Linked DNA regions of Arabidopsis thaliana. The protein of the gene in region 2 purifies or fractionates together with the protein of the main gene of each other region. This does not show direct contact. Each region holds a gene or a part of one and is shown on either strand. Other genes may lie near its edges. The genes, in order: AT5G67630, AT3G02270, AT4G19006 and EIF2.

Evidence for each region.
Region 1: the proteins of AT3G02270 (region 2) and AT5G67630 fractionate together in Arabidopsis thaliana (co-fractionation; one large-scale study listed by BioGRID). This does not show direct contact.
Region 3: the proteins of AT3G02270 (region 2) and AT4G19006 fractionate together in Arabidopsis thaliana (co-fractionation; one large-scale study listed by BioGRID). This does not show direct contact.
Region 4: the proteins of AT3G02270 (region 2) and EIF2 fractionate together in Arabidopsis thaliana (co-fractionation; one large-scale study listed by BioGRID). This does not show direct contact.

Annotation. Positions count from the first base shown.
Region 1 is NC_003076.8:26,966,446-26,972,175, reverse strand, and holds AT5G67630 (P-loop containing nucleoside triphosphate hydrolases superfamily protein), read left to right. Parts: upstream 1-2,775; 5' UTR 2,776-2,869; coding exon 2,870-3,618; intron 3,619-3,980; coding exon 3,981-4,641; 3' UTR 4,642-4,798; downstream 4,799-5,730. Other genes in the region: AT5G67640 (uncharacterized protein), read left to right, coding at 1,628-1,732, 1,816-1,864, 1,935-2,261, 2,506-2,630.
Region 2 is NC_003074.8:447,556-453,286, forward strand, and holds AT3G02270 (Trimeric LpxA-like enzyme), read right to left. Parts: upstream 3,453-5,731; coding exon 1,422-3,452; downstream 1-1,421. Other genes in the region: BIG (auxin transport protein (BIG)), read right to left, coding at 339-445, 613-934.
Region 3 is NC_003075.7:10,408,642-10,414,370, forward strand, and holds AT4G19006 (Proteasome component (PCI) domain protein), read right to left. Parts: upstream 2,827-5,729; 5' UTR 2,707-2,826; coding exon 2,557-2,706; intron 2,254-2,556; coding exon 1,807-2,253; intron 1,613-1,806; coding exon 1,532-1,612; intron 1,439-1,531; coding exon 1,242-1,438; intron 1,153-1,241; coding exon 708-1,152; 3' UTR 507-707; downstream 1-506. Other genes in the region: AT4G19010 (AMP-dependent synthetase and ligase family protein), read right to left, coding at 3,074-3,199, 3,288-3,390, 3,522-3,589, 3,667-3,812, 4,096-4,285, 4,513-5,580. UniProt on the Arabidopsis thaliana protein: Acts as a regulatory subunit of the 26S proteasome which is involved in the ATP-dependent degradation of ubiquitinated proteins.
Region 4 is NC_003071.7:16,696,610-16,702,353, reverse strand, and holds EIF2 (eukaryotic translation initiation factor 2), read left to right. Parts: upstream 1-2,044; 5' UTR 2,045-2,424; coding exon 2,425-2,670; intron 2,671-2,854; coding exon 2,855-2,934; intron 2,935-3,082; coding exon 3,083-3,312; intron 3,313-3,539; coding exon 3,540-3,661; intron 3,662-3,743; coding exon 3,744-3,857; intron 3,858-3,932; coding exon 3,933-4,022; 3' UTR 4,023-4,313; downstream 4,314-5,744. Other genes in the region: HSPRO2 (ortholog of sugar beet HS1 PRO-1 2), read left to right, coding at 398-1,705.

The DNA.
Region 1 (5,730 bases), on a different chromosome or scaffold from region 2:
TCTCTCCATTCTAGAAAATCTTTTTGTGAACAGAGGGAATCATAAGAACAGAGTGAAGTGTGTTTTCTCGTCCATGTTTTGATGTCTTATATGGGCGTTTCAATGGACTTTGGTGAAGTGCAGATAGTGAGAGTCTAAAATGCTTTTTGTTTTGTCTATTTTGCTCAACATCTGGTGCCTCCATTTGAATCTTTATTGGAAAGTGGCTTTGTTGGCTGGGAGACTTCTACATTTTTTTGGCTGCTGTGGGATACTTTTTCATTTGTGGCTTCTAAAAAGAGAAGAGAAGATGTGTTTATCAAACACTTGGGGTTCTACGTTGGGGTCGCAACATGTCTTAGGTGGAAGGATAATGTGTTGAATTGTAACGAGATCAACACTTGTGGACTTTTCGGAAATCATACTATTCACGAGAACAGTCGCTTTTTGGTTGTAATGAGTTCTTTCGACGCCGTACCTTTTGTCGGTGACTTGTCAAAGGTCCACATTTTGCACCACCACCAGGATCTTGTCAACATCAAGTCAGCATTGAGTGGAGCTTCTAAATGGGTAAACAGAACTGTTCGTAACCCACAATCGGATTTCTGTTACATGTCCACAATATTTATGTGTTGGAGTGACGTTGCTTACACAACAAGCAAGCTCTTGACATGTGAACATGAATGCAGTCAATGTTGTGTTCATGTGAAAGTTACTTGATTTCAGCTTGGATATGCAGGCAACAATTAAATGGAGAGGAAAGATCTGCGAGGTGATGAGTTTATCCAAAAAGACAGAGGATATCTTGGTCACATGTGTTCAAGGAATCTTGGAATTCATTTAACAAAGTTTTTATATGGAGGAAGCTTTAGCAAGTCGCTCTTGAGGCTGAAAAGGAAACGCCATAAAGTTCTTAAGAGAAAGTATTATGAATTGGTGGACAAAGGATGTCTTCAAAGATTTCAGATTTGGGTCGAATCTTTCTAACCCAGAAGGGCTGATGCAGCGTATCTCAAAGACGAACGTGTTGTTCGTCCCGTTTGGGCTGGCTCGTTGTTTGGGTTTTGTTTCTCATGGGCTTCATGTTTATTTAGCCTTTTAGTACTTGTATTCGTTTGCTTCTCTTTTATGTTAGTTTTTTTTTTTATCTTTCTCTTATTTGAAAAGACGTAATTTAGTATTGTAATTAGTTTTGATTATTGATTAAAGAGTTTTAAAGAGTGTTTTGTGTAAAGCCTATAAAAAAGGACTCCTAACCCTAAGAGCTTGTGTTCAAGCCCTGTAAGGAGGACTTGCAAAACCTTGTCGATATCGATCCCTTAGAATCGATCTCGATCTTATCATTTATTGCTTCTTCGTCAAGTTTTGACGTTTTAGCAAGATCTATTCGTGAATCCGACTTTTCCTGCAATCATGGAATAAGAATGTGTTTTTTTTTAAAATGTGTTTATTAAAGAAAGAAGGAAAAAAAAAGTTTTAGTTACATTTGACGTGAACTCTTTGACTTGTGTGGGTGCAATACTATATCAAAAAAATTGGGAGTAGTAATACAGTTACCACTAAAGTTTAGGGACATAATGAACAAAAAAAAAAAAAAAAGTTACACATCTTATGAATTAGACGGAGATTTCGCTGCCAAGTGCCGACGATGCGACGGCGAGAAGAAAAGCGTCGAGAATTTCACGAAGCTCTTCTTCAAACACTGTATCCTCCTTCATCGCCACCTTCTTCTCCTTCCTATTCTCCGCCTCCGGTATTTTCTCAATCTCTATTTGTGTCAATTTGTTAGTTCTCGATTGGGTTATGAATCGATAAATGTTCCCGCCATTGTTTCAGGTGGAGGTTGTTGATAACGAACCATTCGATGTGTCACTCATAAACCCAGGTACGATTAATGTAATCTTAACAAGTTATTTACACTTTGGAAGTCACATTCAAATTTGTTTATTATTCAGAGGATTACTTGAAAATCGATTCATCTAATCACGGAGAAGACAAAGAAATCGGAGACGAATTGGGGATTGCAGAGAAACAGAGTCGAGCGCAGAGAAAGAGGTTAAGGAAGAAGATGCTCAAAGAGGAAGCAGCTCGACGGAAGAAAGTCATCGGACCTTTACTTCCGACTGAAATGCTTCAGACCCATGATGAAAGAAGTGTCGGAGATGCTTGTGGGAGCAATGTTGAAGAAGAAGATTCTGACGGTGGCGAAGAAGAGGTTGATGGGAGCATTAGCAACATATGCTCACAACTTGTTCGACCAAATGCCCAAGAGAAGAAAGAAGGTACACACAGCTTTTGACTTTTTTGACGATATCCTTAGTTTCAAATCTTTTGGGAAAAATTCGTACTTTATCTAACTAGATTTCATAACACATGTACGTATTCAGATCAAGGGTTTGACTTTAATCAAAATCTACTAGCTCATCAAGTTGTTGTCTCATTGTTGGTCCTGTGCAAATTACTCAAACGTTCTCTTTTGTGTATTAATTACATTACGCGTCTGACTCTTTATTTTTTGTTTGGTAGGACTAATCGGTGACAATGATAAGACGAGAAAAGTCAAGAAGAGAAGAAATGCTAAGAAACTGGCCAAAGAGAGTTCTAAGAATATCCAGGATGGATCCAATGCAATCCCTGAAATTCCTAATTAGGGTTCAAATTATCACAGACCTTTATCTAAGAGTTAATTACTTCATCTTTAATAATTCAAGGGTATATTACTAAATTTATAATTCTCGTCTATAAGATTTGTGAGTTCCTTTTATGCCCTTGTTAAGAGGATTTAACTCTTACATCGTCATTGCCATTGTGTAGCTTTTCTCTAAACCCTAAAACCTTAACTTTTTGCTCTTCTCCCTCCGCCTCAATCGCACGAAGACGATAATCGAATATGGCGGAACTAAAGCTATCAGAGAGTCGGGACTTAACCAGAGTCGAGCGAATCGGCGCACACTCACACATCAGAGGACTAGGTCTCGACTCTGCCCTCGAGCCGCGAGCTGTTTCCGAAGGTATGGTCGGTCAAGTGAAGGCGCGTAAAGCCGCCGGTGTAATCCTTCAGATGATTAGAGAAGGGAAAATCGCGGGTCGGGCTATTCTAATAGCGGGTCAACCCGGAACGGGTAAGACAGCGATTGCAATGGGTATGGCGAAATCTCTTGGCTTGGAAACTCCTTTTGCGATGATTGCAGGAAGTGAAATTTTCTCATTAGAGATGTCAAAGACAGAAGCTTTGACTCAGTCTTTTCGTAAAGCGATTGGTGTTAGGATCAAAGAAGAGACAGAGGTTATTGAAGGAGAAGTTGTTGAGGTTCAGATTGATAGGCCTGCTTCTTCTGGTGTTGCTTCCAAGTCAGGGAAGATGACTATGAAAACGACTGATATGGAAACTGTGTATGATATGGGAGCTAAGATGATTGAGGCTTTGAACAAGGAGAAAGTGCAGAGTGGTGATGTTATTGCCATTGATAAAGCTACTGGGAAGATTACTAAGCTTGGAAGATCGTTTTCGAGGTCTCGTGATTATGATGCTATGGGTGCGCAGACCAAGTTTGTGCAGTGCCCTGAAGGTGAGTTGCAGAAGAGGAAAGAGGTTGTACATTGTGTCACTCTTCACGAGATTGATGTTATCAACAGCAGGTACTTTTAACATTCCCTGAATTGTAAACATTGGTAATCATGATTTGGTATCTGCAATACCAATGTAGGTTGCAAAATTGAAGTTTTAGTGATTAGGTGATTGGGAATTTAGTTGATTTGGCTCACTAATTTCAGATGAGATGTCTCAAATTTGAGATTAATTCATTGCTTTATATGCTCTTGAAATTCTCAAGCTCATTTTCTTTAGCAGTGTGTAGTCAGAGCACTCTTTATAACTATAACTAACTCATCTGTTTGTGGTATCGTTAGAACCAATTTTGGTTGCGGAATTTAATGTTTGAAACATGATTGGTAGAACAAAAAAAAGTAACTTTGTGTACTTCTTCTTTGTTTGCTTGCAGGACACAAGGGTTTCTTGCCCTTTTCACTGGCGATACTGGAGAAATCCGATCAGAAGTCCGGGAACAAATTGATACAAAAGTAGCTGAATGGAGAGAAGAAGGAAAAGCAGAGATAGTTCCCGGAGTTCTCTTCATTGATGAAGTCCACATGCTCGACATCGAATGCTTCTCATTCCTTAACCGAGCTCTAGAAAACGAAATGTCACCAATCCTTGTGGTGGCAACAAACCGAGGAGTGACGACAATCCGTGGCACAAACCAGAAATCACCACACGGGATCCCGATTGATCTCCTTGACCGTCTTCTCATCATCACTACCCAACCTTACACAGACGATGACATAAGGAAGATATTAGAAATCCGTTGCCAAGAGGAAGACGTTGAGATGAACGAAGAGGCCAAACAGCTTTTGACATTGATCGGACGTGATACATCTCTAAGGTATGCGATTCATCTTATAACCGCAGCTGCATTGTCATGCCAGAAACGGAAAGGGAAAGTCGTGGAGGTTGAGGATATTCAGAGAGTTTACAGACTGTTCTTGGATGTGAGGAGATCGATGCAGTATCTTGTTGAGTATCAGAGTCAGTATATGTTCAGTGAACCAATCAAAAACGATGAAGCTGCTGCAGAAGACGAACAAGATGCTATGCAGATCTGAGGATCCACCTCTGTTTGCCTTATTTATCATGTTTCGTGGTGATATGTATGATTAGGATGTTGAACTCGGATTTATGTTTTTTTTTTTTTAAGTTGTGACGAGATTCGGTTCTAGAAAATGATTTAACCAAGTTCAATACAGATCGGTTTGGTACAAATTTGATTTTGTTTGGATTTGGTCAACTTATTTCGGTTCGGTTAGACTAGACTGTAGGAGATGGTTTTACTAAATTAGTCTGGCCCGTTAAGACTTTATATGGGCTTTAAGCCCAATATTGACGAGTATAGTGAATCTCTCTCTTATCATTAAATACATGTAAGCGTGTGTTGTTCGCAAAATTTGACACGCATGCAAGTCTCTACCATCAGAGTAAATTAATTACGAGTGTTCTCTTACCAGACTTCATCGGTTTTTGGTGGCGTGTTTTGGTGTAACGAATTTATTTTGCTTGGTCGGGTCAATTTCAACTTATTTAGTGAAATATTATCTAAATTTATGAATAAACGTGTGTCCTTGAATTTCTTGAATAAAGATTTCAAAACAAACGGCTTTGTAGAACAAGAGTTAATGATAGAAGGCCAAACAAATTGTTCCAAACTCATGGATTGAATTAATCTAATTTACACATCGCTTGCAAGTAATTAGAAAAAACAAACATCACACGCTGGTGAATCCAACCAAAAATATGCATTATAAAAAGTCGAACAAATCTATTGACAGTAAAGAGTCGCAGTGTCTTTAGGTACTCTGCCATTGTGACATCTGATTCAACTCGTCATGGGTCCCATACTACATTTTATCATTCTCACTGTTACCGTAACTCTGAATCAACAGCTTCCTTTGGAACAGCCTTTATTTGTAATAGTACTTTTTATTCTTCGAAACAATCGGATTGTGATATGATGCGGATTGTGATATGATGAAAAAAACAAAAAAACAATCGGATTGTGATAAGAAATATGTGAATGAATATTCAAATAAATCAAATCCATAAAGATTTTGTTATCAACTACACTTTAGTTCAAATAACATGTAAAATTGGACATAGTTTTACGTGTTGCTCGGATATCATTTCAGAGATTCGTATCA
Region 2 (5,731 bases):
AAAGAGTTACTAATGGAAGTAGACCGTAACCATACTATAACCCTCATGGAAAAGGTAAAACGAAAACATGCTGGTTAGCATATGTGACAAAATTCTATGGCGCAACAATGAAAACCTGACCACTAGTGTCAAAAACCTGATAAAGTCTTATAAAACGAGTTCAAACGTCTAATCATCGAAAAACAAACACAAATAAAAACAAATTCTCTAGAAGATATGTCTATGCTCAAAAAGGACCTCAAGCAGATTACCTAGACTTACCCAGTGTACCAAAATAAGACCAACATTAAAGACTTCCCTACTGAATCTCTATCACAAATTAATAATAAAGAACAAACCTCCATTTTGAGATCATTTTGTCTAAAACTTGACTTCTCCAAGAAGCTGAGAGAGAATTCCATCACCTCCTGGATGACACCCAAAACGATTGGTTCGAGTTGGTCCACTAAGATACACCAAAAAAAAAAAAACAGTAAGGAAAATGATTCGAGATCATCACTGTTCAGATGGAAAATAACTAGTAACTCATCTAGGATAGCAACAAAAAAAGCAGATGCCAAAGCTCAGAAAGTGGAAGACGAACTAGAAATGGACAGCTAAATTGATACCGACCTAAACCTTGATTCAGTGTCAAGTCAGTACCTAATAGAGATCGAGATAGTAGAAGGATCGCCTGAGATATCGAAACAAGAGCTTGAAGCTGCGAATCGGACCATGTCTCAAAGCGTAGCTTGCCAGAGGAATCAGCATCGTCTCCGCCGATCGGAGCGACACCCCAGCGAAGGAGGAGATAGAAAGAACGGAGACCGCGCTTGATCGAATCATCGGAGCGTAAACGGCGAGAAAAGAGATCTGAAGATGCCGAAGACGACAAAGAGGGAAAGGCGGTGTCGTCGAAGAGAAATCGGCAGAGATTCGCCAAGTCATCTGCCATTTCTGGCGAGGCGAAAGAAGAAGAGTTCGATGAGGAAAAAGGTTTCTAGAGAAATAGGTATATACAAAAGGAAGAGGAAGGTAAGGGTTTATAAGTAAAGAATCAAAGGCGGTGAAAGAGGACTCTGTGGAGAAGACGATGTTCCTTCTTCTTCGTTTTCATTTCCTTATTCTTTTCTTTCAAAATCAGCCCAAAAATTAATATTTAGATCATTCCTTTATTATTTTTCACTTAGTTAAATTTCTCTAATTCGTTAGATAACTATAATTGTTTTTTTTTGGGAAATACTGTAATAAGCTTCCTATAATACATTTACAAAAACATAAAAGTTGTATTTATATACCTCATACATGTAATGGATGAGATATAAAATAGCACATCATTAGAATAACACATGGAAAAAAAGACAAAGTAATCTCTTCGATGCAAATAATCAATCAGAATGTTCCTTTTGGGAGCCAACGAACACATGTTTACCACCAATTCATTAGCCATCTTCATCGTCAGATGTTTCCTTGAGCCACGTTATGAATGGCTCGCATTGTTTCAGATAAACTTTGTCAGATTCATCAGCTCCGGCTTTCTCATCCGACCATCTCAAGATTGCAACTTCTTGCAAAAGGTCATTCTCTTCCTCATACATATAACGTAAAATATGAGCAAACAAAGTTCCCAACTCATGAGCAGATTCTTCACACATCTCTTCCAATCTCGATATTACTTCTATCTGTTCATCACTTTTCTTTACATAGAACCCAAGAAGTCCCTTCCATCGAGTAATGATACTCGATGCGTTTCTATACAAGTCATTAATAGAGCTATGTGGAGTACTAACTGCTAGTTTCATCATAGAGTAGAATATTGCACCAGCACAATGTGCAGATTCCATGTTATATGACAACCGGAGTGAGTTTATCTCCAAAACCGCAAGGTCGGCTACAATATTCTCTTCGACAGCCCTTAAGAAGGTGCCATCAACCTCTCTCTCAAAGTCAAAGAGATCATTGTTAATACTAGTATTAGCATCGCCGGAAGTTGTGACAACACTTTCATCATCCGTGTCATCATCGTCAATGGCCTTAATGATCTCAGCAAGTTTATCTTTGGGGATTGGTGGAACAGAATGCTTCCACTCGTCTTCACACGCTTGGCGCCATATGTAACCTGCTCCATCAAGACCAAGCTTAGACTCCATTTGCAAATCTACACCTGACAAAAGATTTTCTTCATCACTGTCTTCTTCCATTGGTTGTCGGAGTAGTGAAACCTGTGAATATGCAGGTACAACAAAGTCCCTCCCGACTACAACCTTAAAAGACAACACAACACCAGGTTTCACAATAGCTCCTGCACACACTTTCACCTCATCACATACAATAGCATTCCTTATCTCACATCCATCTTCAACCGTAACATTGTTCCATATGTATGAGCCTTGGATCACCACATTTGATCCAATAGAACATCCATTCCCAATAACAGAGTTCAAGATCTTAGTCCCACTCCCAATATTTGTGGCATGTCCAATGACATAGGAAGCTCCAACATGAGCAGATGGTAACTGAGTAGCATCAGAAGCCTTGTAGATCCCTTGTCTCTCGAGCTTAAGAGTGCGATTTCCGCTGAACTTCATATCCGGTACATACGGGAATGTCCGCCTCTGGATTATATCCTTGCTCACCATGTCATAGCTCCTGAAATTTTCAATCCTAGAAGCATAACACGAGCTAATCTCATGAGTGAAAATCTTGTAACCGATAATGTCATCAGCAAGAACACCTTCCACAAAATCACAACGCATATGTTGGTAATCGAAGTTATCCACAAATAGACTAAGCACCTCAAGAGAACATATGTCAATGTAACAATCCTGCATATCACTACATAACAAAACAGATGGATTACGATCCAGCAATGATTTATCGAAGCAGATGTTGTCCTCATCGTAATAAAGAAGCTGTTTTGTTAAAGGATTTACAGCGATGAAGAGTTGATGATCGGTGATGAGTGACTGTCTGATAACCATAGTCATGATAGCTTTCTCATCTTTCTTTTTTCTATCTCTGTGTTCTTGAATCAGCTGCGTCAGGGGCATGTTACTAACAATACATCCATTAACAAGAACAAAGTCACCTTGAATCTGAGACGTCTCAATCTGCTGCTCGTAGATATAACGCAAAGCATCACCAGCACTGGTGGAGTTTTGCGGTGACTCTATAGTTTTTACCGTAAAGTCTTTGTGCGAGTACCAGTCAGAGTTGTTCAGATAATCGATGACTTGCATCGAGCAAAAGACGAAAACTTCTTCTATGCCAGCAGATTCGAGCCAAGCTAAGGTGTAATCAATCATGGGAATATTCACTAGCGGTAACAAGACATTGGGGCGTTCTAAGGTTAAGGGAAGGAGTTTCGTGGCGAAACTGTCAGCGAGAAGAATGGCTTGTAACCGTTGACGGCGACTCTGTTCCTCCTCTGAATCCTCTGAAATCTTCGCAGCACGTTTCTTACGAGAAGCCATTATCTGATCTCCCTTCTCTCTCTCTCACTCTCTGAAAATTTTGATCGAAAATGTCTGCAGGGTGCGAGTACCATTTCAGACTTGGGAAATTTGAAAAACTCTGTTTTGATTATTCAAAGACTTTCTCAAAGTCAAAACTTCTTGCAGTGATAACGTCTTTTTTGTTCCTAAACGTCACGTGTTTGGCCTTTTGAGAGAACCGGATTTTCTATTTTGTCGGTTCCATTTGAGATTTGGATCAAATTTGTTTTAACAAGTAATAAAAGCCCAAGTGATAGATAGAAACCACTTTCGAGGTTTTGAGAGTGACATAAAAACGAGGACTATATGGGCTTATTCCAGGCCTGAGCTAAATTTAAGGCCCAATCGTTTGTTATTAATTATAGACATTAAATGTCCCAAACGAAAACTAAAAGAGATGGAAAAAAAAAAAAAAAAAAAACGAAAACTATAAGAAAAAGCCCTAGCAGTCTGTTCTTCTCAACTCAAGTTTGGGCGAATCCACCATGAAAGTAATCTTCTACGCTTTTAGTGTTTTTTCTAATAAGCTTAACTTTTGTTAGAGCTCATCTCTAATTTTTATGGTATAAACCAATTGTTATGCTATTTTTTAAAAATATTGTATAATGTTATAGTATACTCGATAACTATGTCATAAAAGTGGCAAAAACTTTTCTAGTGAAGAAAACATATCAACTCACTTTGATTTCTTTAGGGGCTCAGCTAAATCTAGTTTTAATGGTTGCAGAACAAAATGAAAATAAAAATTTTAGTATCTCAAAATCTAGTTTCTATTTTTTTTTTGTGACAGTAATCAATGATTTCAAAATAACCAAAAACCTCGTAATAAGATTCAATTGAATCTTAAAACTACACAACTTTCAGAACTAAAGAATGACGAAAAACGAAATAATAGAGGAGAAGTGGAGGAGCTACTACACAACTATTTTCATTTTTCTAACCAATCAGAGCGCACCGGACTACGCCCACTCGCACCAACTTCGCGTCACGCGCTCCGGACCACGCCCACTCGCATCAACCTCGCGTTGAGCGCGTGTCGTCGATTTCTGTAGGGGTAAACCCACAAAATCATGCCTATTTTACATCTACTCGCTTTGTTTCCAAAACAGCCTCGAGTGACTTTTTCTTTTGTTTTTTTTTTCTCAAAACCGTACTATTCTAATACAAACCGAACCAAAATTAATTTTCATTTCACAACCATCTAAACCAAACAGAAATCACTTGTAATTTCAAAACCTATGTACGCCGAACCGAAATCTATTGTCATTTCATCAAAACCATGTAAAAAGCTTCTTCGATTGTTTTAACATGCAACTGAAAATAACAATCCTAATTTATCAACAGAGAAATATAGAGATACCAACGAAACTATGGGGATGACAAGTTATCATCTTATCCACATCTCTGTCCAGTGTGAGTTTCACGATCGTTGATTTAATAGGTAACAAGGACCAGAAGCTGCGGCAGCAATGAAAGCTGATCTTGTTTCAAAGCCACCGCCAAGTCTTTTGGTTTTGCATACCGCTTTCACACATTGGAAGACCAAGGAACATGAGACACATACTTCTGCTGACCTATATAGGAATCATAAGTAACCACCAATGTTGGCATAAGCAGAGAGTATGAAAACTTTTGTTACTAATTTAACATAAAAACAGTATGATAACAAAATGAATACATGCGTAAACTCTGCTTCTTCTAAGACACATATATACTAAAAGTTCCCCATTTGAGGCTCCATTTAAGAATGAAATTGAACAATTGAGGTTCAAATTTTCTTACTTGTCCCACAGATGTTTCCACCAATGCAAACCACTTGAGCTGTTCAATAAAAGCCTTGCAACACTTGGGATATAATCGGAAATTAGATGACAATAAAACGAACCTCTGAGATATTCGACAAGGTATTTCTTAACTTGAGTAAGGTCTGAAACGATTTAACTACTCTACCTTTGATTTTGAGAAGATGATTACAGTTGTGATTTTGGTGGAGACAAAAATGTCCATCTATGTATGTTGCTAGCCATCTTTTTTCAGATACTTTTGTCTTATTTTCGAGTTACAAGTTACAAGGCACTATGCTCTGTAACTAATTTTGCATGTCTTCCACTTATTGTGTTGTTGTGTCTTTTGGTGGATTAAGCTAAGAGATCAACAAGACAAGAAAAAACCAACATTTCTGTTCTGATACGTGGATTGCTGGTTAAATACGGTTATATAGATGTTGGTTTAGTGGTTTAATTCGTATTGTATACTTT
Region 3 (5,729 bases), on a different chromosome or scaffold from region 2:
TATGCTAATTCGAATTAACGCAAAGAGATTCCCAAAATAGCTCTAACCGATTCAATTTTCGATTTTGAAGCATTATTGAGAAATCGAATCACCAAAACCCCAACATTAGAAATCTAAAACCCAGAAACAACAATCAAAATCTATTGTTCCCAGAGAAGAAAGCTATGTTTTTGTAGAAGAAATCAGATCTGGATTATGTCAATCCAACAGCATCTACCGATGATCCCTAAAATCTATTCCCCAGAAGACAAAACATTTAGAGAGCGAGCAGCTTACGAAGCAGACAGATGAGCTGGAGTCTTTGAGACTTGACTGCTCTGTTTCAAAATCTCAAAATCGGAAAATTTTGATTGAAACGAAACGATGGTGATAATTGGGGTTTAATATGTTTTGACTATTTTACCCTTACACTTTTCATTTCAGAAGTTGACAATTTGGATTCATTCCACTATTTGAGATTTATGAGTTTTTCACACGTCTAATAACAAAAGTTGGACCATTTGTTATGCAAATAGGCTTAAGCCTTAAAGGCAACACTAACGATGAAACTCAACTTAATAGGATAGATTCATGTGTCTGTGGAGAACAAAGTTCAAAAGTATAACTGTAATACCTAAAAACTTAAAAGGAAGTTGCATTTAATCCTCAGAGAATGTTACAATCTGTAGCTTAAACGAACAGTGAAGGAAAAAAGAGGAAAGAAGAGTTTAAGCTGCAACAAGATCAGGTGTCTCGGCCTCAACAGATAACAATGTGGTGTGAACCTTATCGACCCAGCTGTCTAGCTGATCCCTCAATGACTTGATCTGCGGTATTCCTAACACCCTCGGTTGCGCCCATGAGACGTAAACTGTTCCATTCACCTGATCTAGTATTCCCTCTATCAAGTGCACCTGCAATAACTCATTCTCCTCAGTTTTCACAATCAACCAATACAGAATCACACATTCAAGAAGATTTCGAGTCTGCGTCTTGCCAATCTTCTTTAGATTTTTAATGTTACTGATAGAATGAGATAGAGAGAAAGAGAGAGGAAAGAAAAAGGTACTCACCGATAAGCTCTTCATGAGAAGGTGCTCAACATCTTCGATTGAAAGTTTAGTACGCTCGGCAATGACACTCAAAGGTATGGTCCTATCTTCAGCAGGTCGGCTGTGGCAAAGATGTTATATACAAGTTAAGTACTAAGTTTGTTTTCATCTGTATATGGGTATAAGATGACTCCTACAGAGAATGAATACCTGAAAATGATCTCAATAAGGCAGAGAATGTTGATCTTCTCTAATAGTTTCTTCTCATTCTCAACCAGTGCTGGTTGAGCACTCAACGATGCATTGTGCACACGACAGAGTTCTTGGTACTGAACTAAATCTCCGTGGTTGAATGCTTGTAGAATGTGGTAAAGCCATTCCACATTTGTTCCAAGCAGACTTTTCAACTGCCATAACATATATAACATGTCAGTGTTCTTTTATCTATAATGGTGAATAAATCTGTGGTTTGCTAATTTGGAGGATGAAGGGAAACTTACAATTGGATGGGCTAACAGTTCCCCAAAGTTATAGATATTCTCCCCAAGTAGAGCTGAAAGCGACAAATCAAAAGCCAAATCCTGAAAGAAACGAAAGTATATGATATTAACATTTTGATTGGAACACAAAGCAATTTACAGAGATAAAGCATTTTTCACTGTAAGTTTCCTTTCATAGAGTGCTAATACTTATCCAAAATTGCTAAAAGACCATTTGGTAACGTAACGACTACATATATCATATATGAATGATTAGAACATTCAGAGGGACGTACCAGCTTAAATGATTCCGAGAGTGAGTCCACAGACGTATAAGCGAGGTAAAGAAGAGCATTTTTATAGAACTCAGAGAACTCTTGACGGACTTTATGGTACTGAGAAGAGACCCAAAAGAAGTTGGCATAAACTGATGGATCAATGTCAGTCATACTATCAAGCAGGCTTTTTCCATCGTCCAAGATTTTCTTGCACTCCTTCTGGTCACCTTGCTCAAGCTTGAACAAAGCTATTTGTGTTTCTATATAGCTAATTGGTTCATTTATCCTTGACTCTTTAGTAGCTTTAAGCTTCTCAATCACTCCTTCAAGATAACTAACTGCAGCTTCTTTCTCAGGATACTGTCGGGAGACTACAACAGCGAAATGCGCAAGCTTCAGAAGATTGATCCTCGTCTCAAAGTCAGTGATGAAATTGTTGTAAAGCTGTATTAAAGCATCTCCAGCCTGCAAAGATTATGAACATAAACAGGGGGAAACACGTCATTAACAAATCTGTAAACCTTGTAAAGCTGAGTTTTTGGGTATCTCTGAGCTAAAATATTCGAAAGCTTTGGTCACAGAAGTGCGATAATTCACCAATACAAAGCTTTTCAATGAATCTGAAAAATCACCTAAGAGTCGGAACGAATCCTTCAGATCTCTCTATAAACCCAAGTCTAACATGACGACTCCTATTAACTTTCTCGAGATCTATGAACCCTAATCACACAGAAGAACTACGAAACGATGAAAATTCAAGAGATTGACCTGAAAGACAGAGAGAGCGATGAACTGCTCGAGCTTAAGAGTGAGCTGATGCCAGAGCTTCTTCTGGTACAGATCTGCGAGCGAATTGTACCACTCACCAAGCTCTGGGTGCGCATTTTTCTGCGATTCAAGGTATTGTAGAGCAGCCATGGTAGATTTTCGAAGAAACAGAAGGCAAAGCTTCGATCTTGTATCGGTTTGGGAGTAAGAAATCCAGAAAAACCCAGCCTTTTAGTAAACTATATTTCTTGAGCTCAAAGACAAGTATTGGGCGATAAATGCAATAGCCAACGATTAAAAGGACTTTTATGTAAATAAAATACTAAGGCTAAAATTACATTTTGGGCTCAGAAAGAATTTTTGTTTCCGTATTGGGTTACAATGCTTTATTCACTGAGAATCAAAGAATGTGTCTGTTTATTTCTTTTGATGCTACAAAACCAATGAATTGAGTTATGAAGGCTATATTAGTGGATCTCTCTGTCTGCTACTTATTACCAAACAAATGAAGAAAGAATCATAGTCTTGAAGAAACAGAGTTTGTAAGAATTCTCTTTAGTTCCTTTCTCAATATCTTCCCAGTTGGAGATTTTGGTATAGAGTTGACCATCACCACTTTCCTCACCTTCCTGTAGGGTGCAACCTAGAACACGTAATGTATAATAATGTATTACATTAATGATCAGTGTTTTGAAATGGGAAAAGCCATTTTGAATTAGTGGGAACCTAACCTGAGAAGCTACATAGCTTATTACATCTTCTTCTGAAAGTGTTGTTTCTTGTCTCCGGACAACGAATGCTACCGGAATCTCTCCACATTCTTCATTTGGGGCACTGAAATGGAAAGTTTGGATACTTTCAGTAGAGTAACAGACTCTGTCGAATTCTCCAAAACTGGATTTGCAGTATCTTTCACTTATTAAACTAGTTTAGTAAATGATCAAGATTTGTTTTTTCGAACTTACGCTGTTACTGCAGCGTCGATAATCAAGGGATGTGAAACAAGAACAGCCTCCAAATCTGCTGGAGCGATCTGCAAAAACCATAAATGCAAAGAATTAATATTTCCTAATTTAGAGTTGGCTGAAAGAGAAACTGCTGTTCCTTTACCTGAAAGCCTTTGTACTTTATAATCTCCTTAATACGGTCAACAATAAACAAGTAACCATCTTCATCAAAATAAGCAATATCCCCAGTACGTAGCCAACTATCTTCAACTATACTCATCTGAGTTGCTTTTGGGTTATTCAAGTATCCTGACAGACAAATGAACGGTGTTCAGATTCTCTCCAAGTAAAATTAAAACTGTTCCATAAAAATATGTAGCACAAAATCAAGAACAAGATAATAAGCCTAATCTATCAACACAAGCACCAAATAAGCCCCACGAAAGTTGGAAGATCCAATCTATATTTACATTTATTAGGATGCAAGTGTTTCTCAGTGATTTGAACCATTGACAAAAGACTTTATTCATGAACTGAGAAGGAAAATCTCAACTATTTTGGTAAAGAAGTACAGTAGGAAGAATCTATCTACCTTTCATGACACCGGGACCTTGTATCCAGAGCTCTCCTCGGTTTCCTGGTGGAAGGAAAGAACCAGAGCTCCAATCTACTACCTTGGCTTGCATATTAGGAGCCAGTAGTCCCACAGAAGAATACCTACTAAGCTTTTCCGAGTTGAAGCCCCGTGTTCCAACTGCAGTTGATTCAGTCATTCCATATCCCTGCAACAAAATGTGATCCATTTTATACACACTTTCAGCTAAATGTAAAGAAAATAATAGTGTGAGTCAAAAAGTCATGGCCTCGTTAAATCAATTTTAGTTGTTTCTTTTGGGAAGAGATGTCAAATTTTTCTAAAAAATGTAGATTCTACTTCTTATTGAGTTTATGAATGAATAACATTTAATTCAGTTTTCTAAAACGACATCCAAAAGTAAAATTCAGAGACCTGAATCAAATCGACATGAGGAAGAGTCTGAAGGAAATCTTCAATGAACTTCCTACTCAAAGGAGCTGCTCCAGAAGAAACTTGCTTCAAACTTTTAAACACTTCACCACAAACTCCTTTTGCCTTCTTTGTCAATGCCATCAACATAGGTGGAACAACCGGGAAATGAGTGATCTTAAACCTTTCAATTACATTAACAACATCAGAAGCATCAAACCTCTTCATAACAACAATAGTTGATCCCAGAGACAACAATCCCATCACAAAGAGTGATAACCCGTAGATATGGCACAAAGGCAAAGCTGCTAGATAAACATTACTCGATCCCGGATATTCGTACTGAGAAGCTTCAAACCTCACAAAAAGCTCCATTGATGCTATCAAATTCCTATGAGTTAACAAAACTCCTTTACTAGCTCCAGTTGTTCCAGATGAATACATAATTGCAGCTACATCGTCTTGCTTAATCAACGGTTTTGGTACAAACCCAAAACTTTCTTTCATAATGGAGTAAAACTTCGGGTTTTCGATACGAATCGAATCAAAATCGTAACTTTCAGATACACTAATCACACTAACCCCCAAAGAACTCAGCTTCTCAACGTTTTCAGTAGAAGTAAAAGCTAATCCAACACTACACTCACTAACTTGCTTCTTAATCTCTCCTAAACTACTCGAAGGATTCATGGTAGTAACAATAGCACCAAGCGAGATCAAAGAGAGGAAAATCATCGGAAAATAGACGGAATTAGGCAAGACGAGTGATACAACGTCACCTTGACGAACACCTAAAACGTGATAGATCCCAGCCGCCATTGATTGAACCATAATCTGTAGCTCAGTGTGAGATATTGAGAACCCGGTTAAGGAATCGATGAGCGCTGTATCGCCGTGGTGTTTGTGTGAGAAAAGAGCGGAGACGGCGTCGAGATTTGGGTCGACGGGGAGGTGTAGGGAAGGGAATTTGCTGGTGTAGATTCCTGTTTTAGAAGAGAACCAAAAGGGAGGGTTTTGGTGAGACGTTTGGGTTTTAGGATTTGGCGGTATGTGAAGATGTGTCGCCGCCATTAGAGAGAAGCAGAGTTTAAGATTCTGCAGCGATCAATATTTACTTCTGATCGGGAAATAAACCAACGACGGAATAGTTTAGTAAAATAATTAATTTAGTTGTAACACTATTATTATGTACTAATTGCAATTAATTGATTTCGAAGAAC
Region 4 (5,744 bases), on a different chromosome or scaffold from region 2:
TTATTAAAAGATAATATCTTACCAAAAACGAGAAAATATTCGATATTTCCTTAGAAATCAGATTACTGAACATTCGACTAATCATCAGGCATTTACCTTTCATAGAAAACAGTTCAAAAAGCAATATAAAGCCAAAAAACGAAAAAAAGATTATCCTGAAATTAATCCACAGTACTGGTTTTTTTTTTTTTTAAAAAGGAGACCGCGTTTCTACGCTGACTTTCAAATCAGTCGCGTCGGTATTATTCCACACGCCTTTTTTCTCGTCCCCATCCTCTATCCACATTTCTCTCTATATATACTCTCCTCGTATCCTAAACTCATCCTCAAATTCAAAATTTAACACACAAACACAAACACACACACCAAAAAAAACACAGACCTTAAAAAAATAAAAATGGTTGATATGGATTGGAAGAGGAAGATGGTATCATCAGATTTACCAAACTCACCTAAGCTTTCTTCAAAGCTTCACGTAACTATTCCATCACCGTTCAAAATCGTCCCTGTTTCATCTCCGATCTCATGTTCAGCACCTGCTCTTTGCTCTGCTTACGAGCTTTACCTTCGTCTCCCTGAGCTAAGAAAGCTCTGGTCATCTCGTGATTTTCCTCAATGGACATCAGAGCCGATTCTCAAACCAGCTCTTCAAGCTTTGGAGATCAGTTTCAGATTAGTTTTCGCCGTTTGTTCTGATACTAGACCGTACATCAACCACCGTGAATGGAACCGGAGGCTAGATTCTCTCATCACGAAGCAGATCCAGCTTGTAGCAGCGATCTGCGAAGATGAAGAAGAAGAAGGTATATCAGCGGAGGCTCCGGTCGGCGGTGGACGGAGTTCGTTGAGTTTGTTACCGCAGCTAGCTACGTGGAGGAGATCAGAGGCTTTGGGGAAGAAGATCTTATATACGATCGATAACGAGATGAGTCGGTGTAAGTACACGCTCGGACTCGGTGAACAAAACATCGCCGGAAAACCAAATCTCCGGTACGATGCGATTTGCCGACCAAACGAGATCTATAGCCTCAAGGATAATCCATACGCAGATCATATCGATAATCACGAGAATCAAACTCTCTATATCATTCACCAGATCCTCGAATCGTGGATCTACGCATCTGGAAATCTTCTGAATCGAATCGTCTCAAGTATCGAAGAAGAGAAATTCGGAAAAGCTTCAAACGATGTTTACTTGCTGGAGAAGATCTGGAAAATTTTAGCGGAGATTGAAGATCTTCATATGTTGATGGATCCGGAAGATTTTTTGAAATTGAAGAAACAGTTACAGATCAAATCGACGGGTAAAAACGATGCGTTTTGTTTCAGATCTAAAGGATTAGTGGAGATGATGAAGATGTCGAAAGATCTGAGACAGAAAGTACCGGCGGTCTTGGCGGTTGAGGTAGATCCAACCGGAGGACCAAGATTACAAGAGGCGGCGATGAAGCTTTACGCGAGGAAGACAGAGTGCGATAAGATTCATTTGCTTCAGGGGATGCAAGCGGTGGAAGCGGCGGCGAAGAGTTTCTTCTTTGGGTATAGGCAGTTAGTGGCGGCTATGATGGGAAGTGCGGAGATGAACGCGACGGCGAGTCAAGAGTCGTGTGACTCACTGAGTCAGATATTTATGGAGCCGACGTATTTCCCGAGCCTTGACGCGGCAAAGACGTTTCTGGGAGAGTTTTGGAGTCATTTGGGATGATTAAATTTTAATTTCTGCTGGTATAATTATTTAATATAAATTTAAATTGGTGGTTTGGTTTAATTTAGTTTGTAAGATAGTGAAATTTTTGGAACATTTGACGATCCATATTTGAATACAAATTCATTTTTATATGATTTATGAGATTTTTTAACAAACGATAACATTTACGAATATCGTAATCCATACTTTGAATTATCCACAAGTCGTAATTCAAATATGGGTGGTCTACTAACGAGTAACGACTAATCTATATGCTCTGACTAATCGTCAACAAATCACCACCTATCCTTCGTAGATGTTAGTGTATGAGAAAAACACAATTTCACACCTATCCTTTGTAGATGTTAAATTATGAGAAAAACACAATTTCACTTTCACAGTGTATAATATTCAAAATTCAATGATAAACACACACACAAAAACGTTATAAAAAACCCAAACCGACGATGAGTAACCAAACCGATGTATAAAACGACATTGCCTTTCTCTGTTTTTTGTGTTCAACAAATTTCATTAAGAGAAAGAAGGGAAGTGTTTGAATGAGTATTCATTCATTAGTCCAAGAAAAACATTTAATGGGCCTGTTTGTAGGCCCACTGGCACATAACCTATCTTCTGTATCATTGATGCCTTCTCCTACCTTCCTCTGACGCTCACATCGGAAACCCTAAATCTCCACTCTCTCGCGCCTTTTACCCCTTCTCAGAATCTTAACCATGGCGGCGACGAGCGAGCACACCATCTTGCAATTTGTGTCTCCGTCATCAACGGCGTCCGCTACAACCTCTGTACTCACGGCGAGGATCCACCCTCTCGTTATCTTTAACGTCTGTGATTGCTTCGTGAGACGTCCTGACTCAGCTGAACGAGTCATCGGAACTCTCCTCGGATCTATCTTACCTGACGGAACCGTCGATATCCGCAATTCATACGCCGTCCCTCACAATGAATCATCCGATCAGGTTCGAAATTTTGATCTCTAAATTTCTCCTCTCTCTCGATTCTCTATCGTTGGAGATCCTAGATCTTTCGTAGCTGAAGATTTGCTTGTTAGGATGTGAATGTTTATAGGAGTAGTGTTAGCTTCATACCCCAAGGTTGTGACTTGTGATAAGTTTTGAGGGTTATGGTTTGATATGGATGCAGGTTGCTGTGGATATTGATTACCACCACAATATGTTAGCTTCACACCTTAAGGTGAATTCAAAGGAAACTATTGTCGGCTGGTACTTCTCGTTTCCCACTCTTATTCTCTTATACTCTCATGATTAGTCTCATATCTTTGTCACATGATTCTTGTAGCTGTGTTGGAACACTGCATTAGGTAGTTTCTCATTTTGGAATAGTTGATTGAACAAGTTTATTGATTTGCAGGTATTCAACTGGTGCTGGGGTTAATGGCGGTAGTTCGCTGATTCATGATTTCTATGCTAGAGAAGTACCCAACCCAATTCACCTAACTGTGGATACTGGGTTTACTAATGGTGAGGGTACTATCAAAGCTTTTGTCTCTTCAAACCTCTCACTCGGTGATCGACAACTCGTTGCACATTTTCAAGAGATTCCTGTTGATCTCCGCATGGTTGATGCTGAGAGAGTCGGATGTGAGTATTCTATCCTTTTATTAGTAACCAATTCTATATTCAAAATACATAACAGTCCTCATTCCTCAATTGTCTAAGTAGTTCAGTTTCTGCATGGTTGATTCAGTATCTAGAGATTGTTTCCCTAATGATTGTGAATGAACCAACGGGAATAGATGATCTTTGGTTGTGTCTGTTCAGTAGATTAATGATTGTGACTGATTTAAAAACATCATTTTGATCCACAGTCGATGTACTTAAGGCAACATCTGTTGACAAACTCCCAAATGACTTGGAAGGAATGGAGTTAACAATGGAGAGGCTGTTAACTCTAATCAACGATGTCTACAAATATGTTGACAGTGTCGTGGTAAGCTTATGATATCCTTGACTGTCTATTATCGACCATAGATACATGATCTTTGATACAGAGTTTTAATGAAATTTCCCAGGGAGGTCAAATAGCTCCAGACAACAACATTGGACGATTCATTGCAGATGCAGTAGCCTCCCTTCCCAAGTTACCTCCACAAGTCTTCGATAACCTCGTGAATGATAGTCTCCAGGTAAAAGATTGTAAATTTCAAGCCAAAGCAAAACACTTTGTAAAAAACTAATGGTTGTTTCTTCTGTTATTTCAGGACCAATTGCTTCTGTTGTACCTATCAAGCATAACAAGGACACAGTTGAGTCTAGCGGAGAAGCTAAACACAGCTGCTCAAATGCTATAATAAGCTTGGAAACACAAGGTTTTGCTAAAAATGGGGAATGCTGCTTTTTTGGTTTCGAATTTTCTTTTAACAAGTTTATGTAAGAATCAGCTTCTTGTTGTAGTGTTCCTAAATTGCAAGTTTAAGAAAGACAAAATGCTCTGTTTCGTGAATTAAGGTCTTTAAAAGGGATTTTTAGTTGGTGTGCCTAATTTTAAACAATATACATATAAATGAGCTTTGTTCTTTTTTTATTTGCCACTTGTTGCGCCTAATCTTTATCACTGGAGATATTTATGCTCAGAATTTTGGATCATGGTCTCTCTCTATTAGCTATGTTACATTGAAAGAGTATAGAAGCCTAGAATTACTGCTTTCTCTTTTGCCGTATTGCGATTGGCCTATGTAGGATCTTACAAAACAGGCTTAATAGACACTATTGGAAACTAACTTCTAAATTGTAAACAATTTGCGATTTGCGGTTGCATATAATAATGCTAACTTTGGCATATAATAGACACTATTGGAAGTTAATATCTAAATATTACACAACATTTGCGATTGAAATCATTCAGCAATTTTTTCATTTCCTGCTTTCACTACACAACTAACACAATCAATTTTTTTACCCGTTTTTTTGTCTTTCTGATAAGCTAAATTAGAGCTACGGTTTATGTATCGGAATACATTAAACTGATTTCGCTGAATCCGAACGAGTATTTGAAGTTTTTGTGGTTAAAAACTTGATTATTTTAGTTTGTGTTGTAAAAACATGAGGGGAGTTTTTGTGGAATGGATTTTGATAGCAAATGTATACGCCTGTTTCTCTGTCAACATACGTACTACATACGATGTTATACAGACATATACGACCGTACCAGTACATGTACATATCAAACTTGAGAAGAATATGTGTAGGCCGGTGTGTAGATGGGTCAACATTAAAGACGTGCATGCACTTGTGATGTAAGTGAACAACTTGCATACATTGTTCACAGTAATCTAACTTATCATTCCACTTCACCCACCTTCACTCTATGGTTATTGGTCTCCATAGCCTTTGCCTTTTCTCTTTATTTATACATTGACGTAGTATCATACGTATTAGTGCTAACCGATAAATTAATATTCGAATCATTTTCATAGTAGTTGTGGGTTACATTTATTTAAAACCTGAAAATTTACGATAATTTGCAATAATTCTCATGATTTTATGAGACGGACTAAACATAACACGGAGAAAACACATACTCGACGACTAGCTACAACTATATTTATGAATTAGGGATGGGCACTCGACTTTTCAATACGATCGACATCATATTTTAGACCAAAATAATTCTTAAAACGCTCTTTGATAATATGTGTAACCAAAAGAGCCACCCATTCATATATGGTCCCGTGATATATTATCACATGATCTCTATTCAAACTATGACATGCATGGTCCCGGCTGTTTTAAACCTAACGATTCGGACAAGTTATTTTCATGCTACATGGATTAGTAATTGTAAGTAGTTTAAATACAAGCTAGATTGTTGAGACGTCTCCATATTGTTTCGTGCAGGTGCAAAAGACAAAACAAACGACAGGCATACGGAGAGACGTACATACGTAAAAGTCTGTCTAATATAGACTTTGTCTTGTCTATAAATATAATACAAAAACTGAAATATATAGTTGAAAAAAGAATTATTAATTATGTTATTGAAAATATATCATTACTTTTATCTTAGGTATAGC